Linked DNA regions of Lonchura striata. The protein of the gene in region 2 purifies or fractionates together with the protein of the main gene of each other region. This does not show direct contact. Links are inferred from orthologs where the notes say so. Each region holds a gene or a part of one and is shown on either strand. Other genes may lie near its edges.

Evidence for each region.
Region 1: the proteins of ETAA1 (region 2) and ATR purify together in Homo sapiens (affinity purification with western blotting; 3 studies listed by BioGRID, with this or other methods). This does not show direct contact. The link is inferred for Lonchura striata from reciprocal best matches to the Homo sapiens genes ETAA1 and ATR.

The regions. Positions count from the first base shown.
Region 1 is NC_134612.1:12,840,548-12,844,459, forward strand, and holds the start of ATR (serine/threonine-protein kinase ATR), read right to left. Parts: upstream 2,329-3,912; 5' UTR 2,321-2,328; coding exon 2,262-2,320; intron 1,623-2,261; coding exon 1,531-1,622; intron 629-1,530; coding exon 485-628; intron 1-484. UniProt on the Homo sapiens protein: Serine/threonine protein kinase which activates checkpoint signaling upon genotoxic stresses such as ionizing radiation (IR), ultraviolet light (UV), or DNA replication stalling, thereby acting as a DNA damage sensor.
Region 2 is NC_134605.1:2,578,918-2,582,829, reverse strand, and holds the start of ETAA1 (ewing's tumor-associated antigen 1), read right to left. Parts: upstream 2,682-3,912; coding exon 2,501-2,681; intron 973-2,500; coding exon 835-972; intron 579-834; coding exon 502-578; intron 1-501. UniProt on the Homo sapiens protein: Replication stress response protein that accumulates at DNA damage sites and promotes replication fork progression and integrity.

The DNA.
Region 1 (3,912 bases), on a different chromosome or scaffold from region 2:
GAGAACCTCCCTAAGAGCAGATTGCTTACCACTAAAACTAAACACATTGAGAGAAATGCATGTAGGCATCGTAAACAGAGTCTTCACTGGGATATTTATTCAGCAGATCTCATTGAAAAAGAGGAAAAAAAAGAGGGGGAAGAACATGGGGGTTGGGAATGTAAGACACACACTTTACAGTGGAATTTCTAGACATTTTCCTCTGTCCAAAAAACACCCTCAGGCAATGAGTACATGTACACCATATCTCATCAACAGTATATAATGATATATCTATGCAATGGTAATGGATAATGTCAAAATCTGTCCCGAGAAATTTCCATTATCACAAGTGTTAATCCATTCACAATATTCAAAGTCTATCATCATATTAACTTATAAATTTATAATGATCAACTTACATATCTGCCTTTTTTCCCATTCTGTTGCAAATTTAAATCTTGAAAATACCAAGCTTCAACATAAACATTTTCAACAAACTCACCAATGCAACTGCATTCAGTTTCCTCCTGATTTCCATCCACATTTACAAACATAAGTGGGGAAGACTTCATGATATGTTGAATAAAATCCAGCAACATCACAGAACTTGGCTGTGAATCTGATTTCTTAATCAGTTCCAAGGCAACTTAAAAAAAAAAAAAAGAAGAAATCAGCATGGCAATAAACCACATAAAATTGCGCTTACACTTTATGAGAAAATAAAAAATATAAAATATTATGATATGGTATTAAACCCTTCAAAATATTTATTGAAAATATGTTTATTAATCTATGAAGATAATTGTATGCATATTGTAACCCTCTCTGTGACTCCAAACTGTATGAAGAAAAGTATGAATTACTTATTAAATATTATTAACCCCAAACGCATTAACATTCAGTTAAAATTCTATCCAACTGTGTATTGAGTGAAGAACAGCAAATACTTAACATTTCCCTAGGTTTACAGTCTTGATAAAAAAACAATGCTGGGAATTGTTTCAAATGCCCAGAATATAAAAGGTTTTAAATGGCAAAGTCAGCTTACTGAAGCAGAAAGTTTAACAAAACACTGAACATATCTAATGCTGCTCCATTGAAACAGGTATCTGACTCGTATCAGATTTATCCAGATCCTGCAGGGATCCTATCCAGTGTTAGTTAGAACAAGAAGGAAACTATCTGAGATTCAGACAAGATTTTAGTTCTGAAAGACACATGTGAATATTAAGAATTGCAAGCTCTGTTACTCATAGCAGTGACATTACATGACACTCCTGCTTTTCAATGTTGTGAGCATTCGTTTCCATACAACCCTGCACTACACTCACCCCTCCTTCCTTGGGGGTCTGTGTGTATGGTTTATTTACAAGGGAACTTCACATCCCAATGCGAAATACTTCATCACTGACTTTATTAAAAACTAGGTAATAAAATGGCATTGTATTCAACTAAAACTTTCTTAATAGTGTCTTAACTTTTATTTTTGGCAGGAATTACTTAAAGTATAAAGCAGACAGTTTTATATTAGAGGATTGCAATGCTTACCAACATCTACATCTGTAAGAATTCTGTCAATGAATTGGCAAAGTATTTGTCTTGGTTTCTGCACAACTGTGTTGTATTCTTCTGGACTAGCACTGCAATTAGAATGATATATTGATGTTACCAATTGTAAAGTACAAAATAATAACTTGGAAGTCTATCTCAACAGTTTAATGTTAAACACTCATTTTCTTCTAGAAGTCTTCAAAAATAAACATAAATGGTTTTCTTGGTGGTGTATAGTGGTTTGAAGGTGGGGGGAGGCGTGGTTGGGGTTTTTTTTCAATTTTCTTGTTTTAGTGACTGGCCTGTCCCACAGCAATCAGGTCTCGTAGGGTCACATCTTCGGTATACAATTGTACCTCCACATCAGCTCGCTGTTTATTGCTGTACAAAGCTACAGTGCCCGTGCTGCCATTAACACTGCAGAGGCCGGCATGCTGCAGCTCGCGTGGCTCTCAGCGAGCGCTCACAGCACACGCAGCCTCGGACCGGGCACTCTGAGGCACCAGGCCGCTCACGCCGGGATGTGCCAGCGCCACCCGGGAGGGAGAGAGGAGCACCGGGCAGGTGGCGGGAGAAGGGCCCAGCTCAGGTGAAGGCGCGGGCCCGGCCGCAGGACACCTCGCACACCTCCTTGTCCCCCTCCCCGCCACACCTGCCGGGCGCGCCTCCCCAGCGCAGCCAGCCCCGCACACACACGCCCTGCACGGCGGCCGCCGGGCCCGGCCTACCCGGCGAGCTCCCGCAGCGCGGGGATCATGGAGGCCATGCCCAGGCCCTGCTCCGCCATGGCGCCGCTTTGAATCAGGCGGGCGGCGCGGGGCGGGCGCGGCGGGACGGCGGCCGGCGGGGCCCAAACCTCCTCCCCCGGCGCTGCTCGGCTTTAACCGCTTCGTCCCCGGGCGCGGAGCGGCCGCGGCGGTTCCGAATCGGTCCCCGATGGCTCCCGCGGACCCCGCGCCGCCCCGGCGGGGCTCTGCTGCGCGGAGCGCTGCACGGACAGGTAACACCCAGCGGGGCCGAGCGCACCCCGCCCGGCCTCGGCCGGTTCGGCAGCAGCACTGAGGGGCCACACGGTCCCGGCGGGCGCCTGGCGGAGTACGGGATGCGCGACAGGAAGCGCCGCAGCGCTGGAAGTGGCTTAAGCGAGGAGGGGAGCGCCCGCGCTGTGAGGAGAAACTTCGCTGCCAAGGGAGCGCTCGGTGCAGCTCCCTCTCCGCCCGCCGCCTGCCCGCCCCGGCGGGACGCACCCGGGTGTCAGGTGCAGGACAGCTCCGCCGGCCGCCGGGACCGGCCCCAACGCCCCCGGCCCGCCCCCGCCATCGCCCCGCCCGCCCGGGCTGGCCCGCGGCAGCAGGTGGTGGCGGGACCCGGCGGGCGCCGGCGCTGCGGGACGCGGCCGCGGGGCAGGTGGGCAGCGAGCGGGGCCGGGGCCGCTCTCGGCTGCTGCCGTGTGCCGGGGCCGGCGGGAGCGGGGCCGGGGCCGCTCTCGGCTGCTGCCGTGTGCCGGGGCCGGCGGGAGCGGGGCCGGGGCCGCTCTCGGCTGCTGCCGTGTGCCGGGGCCGGCGGGAGCGGGGCCGGGCCGAGGGCGAGCGGAGCCGGCGGGCGGGCGCGTTCGGCAGGTGAGCGCGCTCGGCGCTCCTCCGCACAGGTAGTGGTGAGCAGCGTGTGTAAGATAGAGCTTTTCTCTTTTGCTGTTGTTGTTACTTTCTGAGCACATGTTGCTTTGCGTTACGTTTCTTTTGCGAGCCGTTGGCGTGTGTAGAGTTCGGAAGGTGCCGCGGAGAGCCCCGGAGGGACGCGAGGCGGGCGCTGAGCGGGAGCGTGTGGCCCCACCTGGGCAGCGAGTCCCGAGCGTTCAGGAGAAAAAAGAATAAAACAAGGGCTTATGGGCAGGTGTGAACTGCAGAGAGAGTACGCGAGGGGACACTCAACTCTGAGCTTTGTTTTTGTTACTATGAGCTCTGGCTCTTTATGCATTTGTTTGTGAAGTTTGCTTAGCGTTGTTTCTGGGTTGAAATAAAATCCTCTCGGAGGATAATTCTCTTGCGTGTTTCCACTGTGCTAGGGCTGTGTCGCTTGCATGTAAAACAGCCCACGTGTGTTTCAATTACTTGAACCATTTCAGATTAATGCTTTCGGGAACCTATTGCTATATTTCATTCAGAGATAGTTATTTTTATTCTGCAAAATATATGTTTGTCATTTCAGTAAAATTCTGCTGGCCTCTTTAAAGGCCGGTAAATTGGCAAGGACCTAAAATACTTAAAGAAACTTTACAAAATATAACTGGGTTTTATCTTAGTTTGGTTTTCAGCATGTATTGCAATGTGTTCTACTAGCTAACTTTGTAAAATGTTAGTCTTTCTAGAGTAATTCCTA
Region 2 (3,912 bases):
GTAAAGAGGAAAATTATTTATAGTATTGAAGCAAGGTTACTATGTTTATATTATTGCAAAATATCTCTCATCTCAGTCATGTTCTTGTAAATCAGCAGTCAATCAAGACCGTTCAAAATGCTTAAAAACAACTGCCAAATAAATCCAGTATTTGAAGAAAGTCTTACCTTTTAACAGATGAGTAATTAAGGATTAAAAAAACAGTATTCTTAAGACCAAGGGCAGTAAACCTTGTATTCTGAAAGTAAACCTTTCTAAAATACAGCTGCTGCAAGTTTCTTCATGTGTCCTTTTTTACAGCATCTGTGACTCACACAACAATCAGTAAATGCTATGCTGACTGTTTTAATTCAATCCCATTCTATAAACTAGTTTTCTACATGCCAAACTCTTACCATGACACTACTGTAACTAAAACCAAGGCTAAAACTTAAGCACTATTCCCTTTTTATTACTACACATGCAGAGCATTGTTTTAGAAAGTTACAATTACACAATTACCTGAGGAGCAATACGATTAACGATTTCCGAAATTTCTACTGCACATCTACTGGTAGACTGCTTGCTTTTTCCATTGCCTATGAAAAAAAACAAACTTCTTAAAATTTTGAAATCTATCCAGTTTGTGAAGTGCAGTACATCTCAAATAACTCAAATAGGCCTGTAAACATCGGAGATTGATTCAGTGCTGTACTGAAGAATTTATAGGTTTATAACGAAAGTAAAATCAAACAACCGTTGTAAGAGAAAAGAACCTTCTTCCAAGGAACCATTTATAACTTTTGCTACACTCGCACTCAAACAAGTGTCCTGCAGTTTGGATTTTGGTATTACCTAATCTGTGTGCAATTGGTGAATGAGAATCCCAAAAGATTTCTTGCTGTGTCTCAGTGTCATTAATAGGAGAGCTGAAAGTAGGTATTCGGGATTTCCTACTCAATGATCTCTTTGGTGTCTTATGTAAACATGGCTCTGTGTAAAAACAAAGAGGACCTTTATTAAAAAACAACAAATAAAAGGCAAAAATCACTTAGAATACAGAACACGTCAAGGCAAAAGAAAATGCTTTGGGAACATCAAGAATAAAAATCAAGTTCACACACACCAGAATTGCTTTACTCACAACAGGAATACTGTTCATAACTAGACATTAAATACAGGACTCTGCCAATTAAATCCCCACAGAGATTAGAGAAAATTACATGATACTGACACCTTTGCACCCAGGAACTGATTGTAATGATGTCAGTTCTTACACTTGAGAGAACACTGACTTAATCTTCTATTAAGAGAAAAATTATGTATACCTCTATGAGAGAAGATTTTGTATTCTTGCTTGCTTTGTGTCTTTCACCCAGACTCTGAGCTGAACTACTTTTTTAATGGGCATCCAAACCACTCTGGGTCATAACCTACATTTGTCTGTATTTCCTCCACTGAGCCCTTCCAGCTAGGACTATTAAAAGCAGGAATATAGCTATTCAAACCTGCTTGCAGCTGCCTTTGATCAGTAAGTGAACTAAACACACTATGTGAAACTCAGCTAGTCACCCCTGCCCTTTAGAAATGATGCTGTGGATGTGGAAGCCTACAGAAATAATTTAAAAGATGCTATCACTACGGGAGGAACATCTTAGAGGATGTTTTGCCCTGAAGTGCCTAGCATGGCCATAGTGGTTTTATCCTCTCCTCGGTTAGTTCTCAGTATTTGCTGTGGGAATCACAGAATAGGTCAGGTTGGAAGGGAGCACACTGGGTCACCTTGTCCAACCTCCCTCCTCAAGCAGGGTCATCCCAGAGCACAGGCCACGGGATTGTGCCCAGATGGTTGTGGAATATCTCCAGCGAGGGAAACTCCACACTGTCTCTGGGCAACCCACTCCAGTGTAGGGTCACTGTACAGCACAGAGGTTCTTCCTCATGTTCAGGTGGAATTTCCTGTGCATCAGTTTCTGCTTGTTTCTTGTGCTACTGCTCAGCACCACTGATCAGAACCTGGTGTTTGGATATTTATATTTAGAGCAGAACTTGGCACCCTCCCTTTGGATATTTATACACATTGATGTGTACCCTCTGTTTTTTTTCGCGATGCTAAACAGACCAAACTCCCTCAGCCTTTCCTCGTAGAAGACATTCTCCAAACCACTAACCAACTTTGTAGCTGTCTGATGGACCTGTTCCAGGAGCTGCATGTCTCTTGTCCTGAGGGGCCCAGAACAGGTCACAGTATCCCAAATGTGGCCTCAGCAGGGCTGAGCAGAGGAGCAGGCACAGCTGCCTTGACCTGCGGGCAATGCTCTTCTCGCCGCACGCCAGGTACCACTGGCCTGCCCGGGGCACGCTGGCTCAACCTGCTCTCCACAGCAACAGCCCTTCCTTCCCAGGGGCCGAGCGGAGATTTACAGCGCACCAACCCCTCCTCACGGCTCGGCCGCGCCTCCCCCGCGGTCCGAGACACGGCGGGCAGGCCCGGGGCCCCCGGGGGCCGCTCCCGCCGTACCTGCAGCGCGGGGCGAGCACGCCGCCTCCCCGGCGGGCAGGCCTCGGCCCGCGCCGCCTTCCACCGGCCCCTCCTCCGCGGGGAGCTCCGCCCGCCGCCGCGCCCGCTGCTCCTCGCCGCCGCTGCGCCTCCTCAGGGCGGCGGGCCCGAGGGACAGCCCCCTCCGCCGGCTACCGGGCATGGCGGCCGCTGCGGCAGCACCGCGCCCGTCCCGCCACCGGCGGCGCCGCCATTTTGCCGGGCGGCTCGCCAGGCCGCCGCCGATTGGCCGCCGCCGCGGCGCCTCCAGCGGCCATTGGCCCCGCGCTGCGGGGCGGGCGGGCGGACGCGGCGGAGAACTGCGGCCCCGCCCCGCCGCCCGTGAGGCGCTGCCGGGTTCAGCCGTACGTGAGGGCTGCCGGGGTCCCGGTGCCCGTGAGGGCTGCCCGGGTTCAGCCGCCCGTGAGGGCTGCCCGGGTCCCGGTGCCCGTGAGGGCTGCCCGGGTCCCGGTGCCTGTGAGGGCTGCCGGGGTCCCTCTGCCCGTGAGGGCTGCCCGGGTCCCGGTGCCTGTGAGGGCTGCCCGGGTCCCTCTGCCCGTGAGGGCTGCCCGGGTCCCGGTGCCTGTGAGGGCTGCCCGGGTCCCTCTGCCCGTGAGGGCTGCCCGGGTCCCTCTGCCCGTGAGGCGCTGCCCGGGTCCCGGTGCCTGTGAGGGCTGCCCGGGTCCCTCTGCCCGTGAGGCGCTGCCCGGGTCCCGGTGCCTGTGAGGGCTGCCGGGGTCCCTCTGCCCGTGAGGGCTGCCCGGGTCCCGGTGCCTGTGAGGGCTGCCCGGGTCCCTCTGCCCGTGAGGCGCTGCCGGGTTCAGCCGCCCGTGAGGGCTGCCCGGGTCCCTCTGCCCGTGAGGGCTGCCCGGGTTCAGCCGCCCGTGAGGGCTGCCGGGGTCCCTCTGCCCGTGAGGGCTGCCCGGGTCCCGGTGCCCGTGAGGGCTGCCCGGGTCCCTCTGCCCGTGAGGCGCTGCCCGGGTCCCGGTGCCTGTGAGGGCTGCCGGGGTCCCTCTGCCCGTGAGGGCTGCCCGGGTCCCGGTGCCTGTGAGGGCTGCCCGGGTCCCGGTGCCCGTGAGGCGCTGCCCGGGTCCCGGTGCCCGTGAGGCGCTGCCGGGTCCCGGTGCCCGTGAGGGCTGCCCGGATCCTCTGCCCGTGAGGCTCTGCCCGGGTCCCGGTGCCCGTGAGGCGCTGCCCGGATCCTCTGCCCGTGAGGCTCTGCCCGGGTCCCGGTGCCGTGAGGCGCTGCCGGCTCCCCCCGCCCGGCGCTGCCGCCGCCGTGGGGCGGTGAAGCCCTGCTGCCGCCGGAGCTGGGGAAGGGCGATGCTCAGCAGGGCAGAGGGGCAGGGTGTGCCCTCCTGCGGGACTTTGCTTGGCCTGAGGTGCCTTGAATT